2 linked regions of the Neodiprion lecontei genome follow. The protein of the gene in region 2 binds, or shares a complex with, the protein of the main gene of each other region. Links are inferred from orthologs where the notes say so. Each region holds a gene or a part of one and is shown on either strand. Other genes may lie near its edges.

Region 1 (4,756 bases), about 1.9 Mb from region 2:
TACAAACTATTTTCAGAGGCTGTAACTGGGAGTCTTTTTCTTAATATTCTATGTTACGTCTCAGACAAAAAAGTATGCTTAAATTTAAAAAATAAAACTTCTGGCCAATCTGTAAATACCTTACTCCCAGCATACAGTGCCAAAAAGTATATGAATGCATGGAATTCTCTGAGGAAAGACCGCTAGTATTATAAAGTAATAATTTTCTTTCTATATCCTTGGTTTTATATTACAATATTGGATGACGTGATATAAGTATAAATTGGGAAAGGAACACAGAAATAACACAACAAATGATCATGATAATATCGTGACCATTCAGAACCAGATCAGAAATGAATACTAAAATATTACGAATAAGTATTAGTACATGTCAAGTATGACTGTACTAAGGAACGGTAATATAAAAGAAGATTTGTGAAACTTAATTCATTTCATGGCTAAAAACCCAAAATTAAATTATGATTGTAAAATATAAATATTCTGATAATGCATTTTAGATTATAAAACTGTATTGAATATTGACATACCCATAGATCATGCTCTGCAAAATCAAAAAGCAGCCAAACCTTCCGATCATTGTGTGATAGAAAGACACGTATCAATGTTATGACGTTTGTATGTTTCAATTCTCTAAGGAGCTATAAGATTTGAGGGAAAAAAACATGTCGTTATTATCCAAAAATCTTGTGTACAGATTATATTTCAATCTGAGTGTTTTGGATATAGGTTACACAAGGTATCCAGTGACAAAAAATGCAATATTTTCGACGGGTTGACGATTCACTTTTTCTGCAGAATTGAACGATTCTAGTAATAATCATGTCTACTTCTGAGTCAACTCCAGCCTTCAACTAATTTATAGTTTAAAATAACTATTCAATCAAAAAAACTAATCTGAGTTCAAATAGTGACTATACGAGTTACCAAATAAACTTGGTAAACATCTGTGAAACTGACATAGTCGCACAAATATTTTAATCAAGATCCGCTAGAATTGACAAATTTCTAGGTCTAAAATTCTGTATTTTCAATGAGTTTTCTTTGTAATGACAAATCATGGAGTAGACGACACATGTTCATAAAAAAATGAAGCCCACAGTAAAGGTTCTGCTGTCGGTAGCGTAAAACCGCTTACTTTACTTTAAGAGCTTCCTATCAATGTACAGGTTATAACGTAGAACCATGATTACGGTTTTCAGAGGCAGATAATGTGTAATAGTGATATATATGTAATTACTTATACATATGGCATTGGCATAGATGAGTACATGTATTTAAATCAGTAATCTTGTGCAGATAAATACTTCATGGGAAATTTGCTAAATTCCACCATTTCTTCTAAGGGAAGTTAATGGTTAATCAATGGTAACAGCACCACTTTTTTTACACAATAATGGGATCTAATTTTCAGCACTCTACATGAAGAATATCCACGATTTGAAAAATTTCAATATTTACATTTACTAAATGCTTTAAAATCTCAAGTGAAAATCTTTCACCAAAAATTTTTGCACAGGCTTGGAAATAAAGTACATTGGACTAAATTTTTGCAAATTTTCTGACTTCCCCTAAAAAGGCCCAATCAAAGGACTTCAAAGGGTTCAAAGCTGATATGTGTATTTTAAAGAAATATAGGACAATATAGATTTCAGATATTTCCAAAAAAAAAAAATCATTTTTTTCTAAAGCAATAATACTTTCTCTGGTCACTTTAGCATTTTTTAGTTACCATTAGGAACATCAAAATTGAGGAAAAAATTTTATATTATAGTTTCTACTGACATTTTATTTCCGCATCTTAGGATCCTCTAATTAATTTTAAATACCTAACTTTGAAATGTCTCAATTCACTGAATCTATCATCTCTGTGGAAATTATAGCAAAAAAAACTAAAAAAAAACTTATTCAACAAGTTTTTCATCAAGTTTTAGGGATTAGTTTTCATCAAATATTATTGGTTACTGATACTGCCTATCCTCTTGGAGAAATTAAAGGAAACTTCACCCTCAGTGAAAGGCTGACTTTAGTGAAGACCAAGTGTTATGAGTGACTGGATCATTACAGAGTTTTGATGTATATTCCACAATACATTCCGACAATTGTCTGACTTTTGCAATCCAGAAAGTTTGAGGTTTTTCAATACTCTTAACTTTTGAAGACTTTGGAACCATCGAAAACTGATACATGGTGGTATTGTATCAGAAACAACTTTCAGTGACATTTCACAAAGAAAAAACATGTGACCCAAGTCACTTTTAGCAACTGCAGTGAAAGAGATGCCACTTGGTCTCTTTAGCGACAGATCTCAACATCAATCAGCGAAGGACCTATTTCTGTATTTCCTCGCTTATAGCTAATGACAATTTGTAGATAGCTTAAAATCGCCAGTCATTTCCCAAGTGTTATGCAAAAGTTAGAAACGTTTAAATCAAAATGTCATTATGTACAGTTGCTCTACTCACTGCTATCTCGCGACATGCTGACATAGAAAGCCCAGTCCCTTCGATTTGTTTGAGACCAAAATCTTTAGTATCAGGACGTGATTTTAACTCGCTGTCAGGAACTCTGAAGTAAAAAAATCTGTGTTTAATAAGATTTTAAATGTGGAATGATACAAGAATGTTGAATTGGCAACCAGAAATACTATAATATTGGTCAAAATTAAAGACGTATGAAGTAACAGAAAACGTAAAAACTATACAAAACTTAATTTTGACTATTCGGACTTTGTCTATTTATATTGCTCAACGGTTCATACAACTTGTATTGTAAATATTCGATCGTGGAACGTATCACTTGAGTATTGAAGGTTAGATAAGTTAGAATAAACTAACCCTTCTTTTCTCCTCGCCTTATATACATGACCGTACGTTCCCCTTCCAACCTTGCAGCCTTCAAATTCGAACAAATCTTCAACTTTCGTACGATCTTTCTGGGTTTTTACTTTAAATTCATAATCCATCATATTTGATGTCAGTACATACAAACTAAATTATGACATCTTTCAATCCAAGTTGCAGGCTGGGCTGAATTTTCACGGGCGTCAAATTGATGCTGCAGCGTCACGCCGTCGACGACAAGGGAAACGCTCGTGGAATGCCGCGCGCCAAAAACTCAAAACTACAGCGTTGAGTTAGCGGTCTTCATAAACGTTTTTATCGTAAGAATTAAAAACTCTAAGATTGTTAATTAGAAGCTTAGAGCCGATAGACATAGAGGAAGGAAGCAACACGCTGAAAAAGTGCCCCCGAGCCAATAAGAGAGAGGAACGTCGTAATAATACATGAGGTCTTCTTCTATGGTAGGTGCGAACATATCGTAATTGAGTGCCGTGATATAATCCGAATGATATGAATACATATTATACACTAGTGCCTATTGGTCAAGTTATTGAAATAAACAGTCAATAATATCAATGTTTAGCATATTTTCAAACGAAACAATATAACTTATAAATCTGGAACGGGCATTTGCCCCGAAAAGTCCGATAGAAACGCAACGTTTCAGCGACATGATTTTAGTAAATAAATGAAACTTAATAGGTATCTTTGTACAACAATAGTAACACTTCAATGCCTATATGCTTCCGGTATGTGACTACGGACACGTCAAACTAACAAAGCCTTAGAGCCAGGCACCGGGGTTCTGTGGTACGAGCGTGAGTGCTGCCTGCAAGCTTAAAAGCATTCTAAGCCTGCAAAACAGAAAAAGAATGTAGTACTACTTCCTTCTCGTTACCATTTTCCACTTACACAGAAGGGTGTACCAGGCTCCCTCCATGTCTATATCCTCCAAGATTGGAAGTAACGAAATAAATCACAAATATATTGACAAAAGATGTATTGCAGCAGGAATGATTTGGAAGAAAATTGACTGCAAAGTTTCATTGGTCAACATTGTACATACATACCGCGAGAAATAAAACAATCACATCATTCTTACACAATAATACTTAAAACACTTAAACTAATGTTGGTAACGGAAGTTACGTCGGAAACACTTGGGATGCATCGGAAATACCAACTGAAGTAATTCCGACGTAACTTTTGCTACCAACATCGAAATCAATTTGTGCTAGAATCCTCATAATTTTAAACAGATCCTTGATAAGTCCTGCAAAAGTCGATTGGGAAGTGCCATGAAATATTGCTGATCGAGGAAACATTTCACCTCAAAAAAGACACACTACCAAGTCACCTGGGGTGAGATATTTTTCCAATCAGACGTTTTACACATTTCAATTCGATTTTAACAGGATTTACGAAGGCTTTATTGACAATTTCGGAAATCATAGCAGAAATCGCTTCAGATGTTGGTGAAAAAAGTTTCATCGGGAATACAAAAGATTTGATTAGCTGAAACAGACAAAAAGTTTTATTAGCTGAAACAGACGAAGTTACGATTAGCACAATGAAAAAAGTGCGTGCATCGACAAAAACTATGTCGAGCCCAATATCAACATTTGTGAAAACAGTCTTCTACTCTAGCATTTCTATGATTCAAGAAAAAGTCTACATGTTTTTAATAAAAATCTGGAATTATTAGCATAAATATTTTGTTCGAGTAAGGACTTGTAAAAAACGGTATGCTTGTAAAAAAAATTAGTTCATTACCTTGAAAAAAAAATAAAATAAAATCACCAAAAAAATACTTTTGTACACTTCAGGTATGTTTTATAAATACTCACGACAAGATTCTCTACTATCACTGTACACTCTGCAATTTTTATCCCCGTGAATTGACCGTCGGCTTG
Region 2 (4,935 bases):
GGCGGTCGGACACTCGATTGTAATTACCTAAGGATTTATAGGTAATTAGAGAAATTAGAAGATTGGTCTACTGATTGTACAGACTAAGAATAGATTATCTTAGTCAAAGCTGATGAGGCACAAGCAATATTGAACAGGATACGAAATAAAAATCCTCATTGAGTCATAAATTTGTTGAAGATCAATTTAACTAGATTGGAAAAGCTTCCATTCTACTCACTTTCCTTAAATACAAACCACTTGGGTATATGTTCAAAGGTTTCTTCTGGATAAGCATTTCAAAAGTGTCTCTTGTAATAATATTCTAGTTGGCCAATTTATAAAATCACATGTAAGAGTTTATATGAAAAAGTGCACTCCTATTTCGAGGTGGGTTAGTTCTTGATGAAAATAATAAAATACTAAAATAATGATTTTGCAAGTTCTACCTTTAGCAAATGTGATAAGTAATAACGAAGCATAAACATAGTTTATAAAAGTTAATTTCTAATGAGGGAAGAACGACTGATTATCTTTTATGAAGAACGATCGTTAGATGCGTTTAAATGCGTGTTTCTAAAATAAATTTGTCGTTCTCAAGTTAGTTTCTGCACCAAAGACAGTGTTCTTCAAAAACCTTTGTGTAGAGTAGTTGTATGTGTTTATATTATTCGTCAATTAAAATGACTTGTGTCTAATTTGGTGACAACCAAATAAAACTTACCCTACATAATTAAAAAGGTACCTGAATTATAGCCGATAATCCCAAGATTATGTCTCTGTGATGTGGACAGTTAATATAGTCGTTGAAAGTCACGGTAAATGGATTAACCGGCATTGGAGCAATGGGATTCTCTTTTATATTACTCACTTCTGATTTTACAGAGGCAGTGACCATAGGACTTTGAGGATTATTGCTGTTTTCTACATTGCTGCACATCTGTGCGATTTTACGACAGCATAAGTATGCCAATTTTCTAGCTAACAACTCCGACTGAACAAACTCTTCTAGATATTGCAAAGCCAATGGTAATAAGAGCTTCAAAATCCCATCATCCAACGGAGCAGATCTCATTTTATCGAGAAGTTCTAAGATCCATTGTAACAGTTCTTGCCTATCGAGCAATCCTTCCTCAAACATGTATTTGGCTAATTGAATACAGTAATGCCACTGTTTAAGTGCTAATTTATGATCTTCGTTCATAGCTGGACCCACAGTTGTCCCAGGATTTGGGTTTGGTGTAGTTGGTTGATTATTCACAGTATTATTGGTGCTGTTATTATTCAGATTACTACCATTGGTACTGTTGCTCATGCCATTAGAGATATTGTGATTCATGTGATAATATTCTTGTAATTTGGTCAGCTGATCTTTTAGAAATTTTATTAAGGTACCAGTCCATTCTAAAAGAAAAATAAAGGATCAATTGTATTTATTGCCCCATAAATATTTATTTTCACTCTACTTAAATTTATAGATTATTTGAAATAAGAAAATTCATACCAACCCGATTCATAAGTTCATTGATGAGAATTCAACAAAATAATTAGTATGTATGTAGGAAGCTAAGTTCTGATGAATGTGAAGTCAGTCAAGTTAAAGTAACGAAACATTAAATAAGAAATCACTATTCTACAACTGTAGAATGACCTTGAAAGAGTTGAGTTAATAAAATATGAGTCTAATTTGGTTCATTATGCTTTACTGATTATAATTTCAGACAAACCTCTAGTTGTGGAAAAACGAATTTTTCTAAAAATGCATTACTACATTAAAATTACTTTTTAGTACCCTTTAATATTTCAAATGGAATTCTAACAGTCTTTTATGACGTATGATATAGCATTTCGTCAAATTTGTAAAACAACCTGTGAATATTGAAGATCAATAATGATAAACTAAAAAACAATGTGTGATTTCTATTTTCCAGTCTGTACCCATTTTGTGAGTATAATAATTTTGGATCAAGTGTTCGAGATATCTGTCTGACTCATATAATGAAAATTACAAATCTGATAGATTGTAACAACACATATCGTTTTATTATTTATTGTACTTTTCTGTTTTGAACCTTACCAGTTGTTGGATCAGGTAATTGTCTTTTCTTAATTTTTGCTTCAGAAACAGCAACGGTATAAGCAGAACTTAATTTAATAAACCAAGCGGCTCTCAGCATCGGTACTTGATATTCACATAACATCATAAAAATTTCTTCTTTCTTGTTAAAATTAGGGGCTTTCTTGGCCAAGGCCAGCAAAGGCTTACAGCCAGACAGATCTTTGAACCAAGCTTCAATCCCATTTTTAGTTCTGGCAGTTACAGGCCAAAAATTATCCTTAGGATTAATCTGCTGTCTCTTTCTTCCCGTATCAGGCATCGTGGCAAATTCTTCTTTCTTAGCAAGTATACCGTTGAAATATGCACCAACTTTTGCAGCAGTGACATTACATTGCTTGGCTGATCCAAATTCATCGGATAATTGAGGCATTGTAGCAAAACCATGTTTAACGTTCACTAGTGTAAGCTCATCCTCCTTTTGCTTAGGCTCTTGTGGATATACGTCGGGAGGGCCTAATCTTGGCCTTTTTAAAGGCCGTTTTTCATACAATATGCTCATCATGGTAAGTAAAAACCGGGATCAAAGACAACAGGAACCCATGTACAGTTCACAAATTTAAAGTGGAATTAAACGAGACTATAACCTTCAAAATAATATAAAAAAAAAAATTATGTCGAAGCTGGCGATCAGACAATTAGTTAAACACACATAAAGTTCACAAAACTTTAATAAAACGACACAGGATGAATGAATATATACAGCATTTTGAACGAGAGATCAATGCAATATATAACCTTTAAAAGTTGACAACGTAGAAAAAACAAAAAAAAAATTAATTTTCATTGCTTACAGAAAAATAGATCGTGTATAGTAGCAGAATACTGTTTTTTAATATATACATGGTTAAAACCGTATTTTAAACTCTGTAGGCGATTAAAATTTCACCGAACTTGTCATCCTTGGGGCAAGTTGCCCACAACGCCATCTTGGCATTTTCTACGGTTACACAGCTTTAAATGACTACGACCTGAGATAAGCCGCCTACACACTAAAGAATTCCCTAGGTGTGAGACGGAGTATCATTGATAATCTGGTAGAGCAAGAGTGACGCAAAACTTCTGTCAGTGCTGCCAGAAAATAACTGTTAATAACGGAACCTTACAGCACCTTACAGCATATAAACATGTGTATATATGCACTAAGAATTACGGACGCAGTCGTTGTCAAATTCAGAGTGTCAAATATATGGTTATGTGCAATGGTGAAACCGTTGTAACGTTGGAAAGCACGCGTGGTACGGTGAAGTTTGCATTAAGCCTGAATTTTCACGGGCGGCGAAGTGCTGCCACAGCATTTTGCTGCAGAGTTCTTGACCAATAGAACCGCCAATAAAGCAGGAAAGCACTGTCTGTTGTGCGCTGAGTGCGAATCTTCTATTTTATCGTCATTCCTATTGGCAAAGAATTGTGGAAATTCACACTAAAGTATGCATAACCGGGCTTCCGTATGAAATTGACAATGTAGTTAAAGATAGTAAAAATTGATATAAGAGTACACAAAGTGAACGAAAGAATAACTATTTCCTATACAATTATGGCCACGCAGGCGTTGCTCAATTTTGGAAACATGTCGGGCAAATGGTAAACACTAATACAAAACGGCATCGTTGGTAAATTTTGGTTATGTGACGTCATGCGTCTGAAGCCGATACAATATTTTGATTCCTCTCTTTAATCAGGCTACTATCTGGTGTGCAGTATCACAAACCAAAAGCCATGTCGCAAACCACCCTGCACCATGTGAGGTATTTTCGAAGAGTAACCGATGCTTCCAAACAAACCAAATCGCCGTTTACTAGTGAACTTACCAAACCAGGTCCTATTCACCTCACAAGACTATGGAAGCCACTTGGTTTTTCTATTATGGTAATTCTCTCTTTATTCACAATAATTATCGCAATTTTTGGATAGTTTAACTTCTCGCTCAAAGTCGAAAAGAATGATTAATAAAAAGAACATATATGACATGATCCGTAACTCTGATCAATCTTCACGAGTAACCCTGCAAAACTGTTCCGTGCCAACAATATTAGCCACAAATTTGTTAGTGGAACTGCAAAATTTCGCTAGTGTTACAAATTTTGAGCACTGTTGGACAGTTGTACAGCTGATGGTGATCGAATCTTCATTAACGCAAGTTCTGCTAGCAGTAAAGTGATGTTAGTTTTTATATCATGTAAATCCATAGGCTGAGCCTCTTTCATTATTAGTTCTTCTTTATTAGCAAGCATATACTTCAGAGTGTAAACAGATACAGAGTATCTATCACTAAAGAATTTCTGGAAAACCAAGGAAGATTTGGAAATTTCACACAGTTTGAAACTATTAGCGGAATGTCAGGAAATTCGACCACGGTTCCTAGAATTGTACTAATTTCTTCCTTTAATACTGCTCCAAGGCGAATATTCTAGTCAATGCACACTACATCTGTAGAAAACAAATGTGTAGTACAAAAAAGTACATAAATGAAACTTGAGTTTTTGTTAATTTAATGAGAAATGTTAAATTTTGCTGATAATTATAATTGAACACTAAAATTAATTCACATTACTGAATGCATATTTCTGAATTCAAATAATTGTTAGGTACGATTTTCTTTCATGAACATCCATATACCATGACGTATTTCTTTCGAGTTGAAATGCTGAACAATTATTGAAATATCAAATAATTGAAACTGAGCCAAATTAAATTGAATATGAAAAAGATTGACTATTTTCATTTATAATTAAAATATAGGTATAAAGCAATGAATTTGAATAAGAAAAGCAAGTTCGTTCAATAAGAGTAGTTCAGATGTATCTTAAAAAAAATCAATGTTTTTTATGGGAAAACTA

What was found. Proteins that work in one complex are often made in the same cells at the same time.
Region 1: mediator of RNA polymerase II transcription subunit 12 (region 2) and cyclin-dependent kinase 8 share a complex: the UniProt entries of both Drosophila melanogaster proteins name them as parts of the cdk8 module of the Mediator complex. The link is inferred for Neodiprion lecontei from reciprocal best matches to the Drosophila melanogaster genes kto and Cdk8.

The regions. Positions count from the first base shown.
Region 1 is NC_060263.1:23,752,386-23,757,141, reverse strand, and holds the start of cyclin-dependent kinase 8, read right to left. Parts: upstream 3,053-4,756; 5' UTR 2,969-3,052; coding exon 2,838-2,968; intron 2,569-2,837; coding exon 2,466-2,568; intron 642-2,465; coding exon 531-641; intron 1-530. UniProt on the Drosophila melanogaster protein: Component of the Mediator complex, a coactivator involved in regulated gene transcription of nearly all RNA polymerase II-dependent genes.
Region 2 is NC_060263.1:25,699,933-25,704,867, reverse strand, and holds the start of mediator of RNA polymerase II transcription subunit 12, read right to left. Parts: upstream 3,091-4,935; 5' UTR 2,601-3,090; coding exon 2,057-2,600; intron 1,384-2,056; coding exon 725-1,383; intron 28-724; coding exon 1-27. Other genes in the region: presenilins-associated rhomboid-like protein, mitochondrial, read left to right, coding at 3,633-3,679, 3,778-3,964. UniProt on the Drosophila melanogaster protein: Component of the Mediator complex, a coactivator involved in regulated gene transcription of nearly all RNA polymerase II-dependent genes.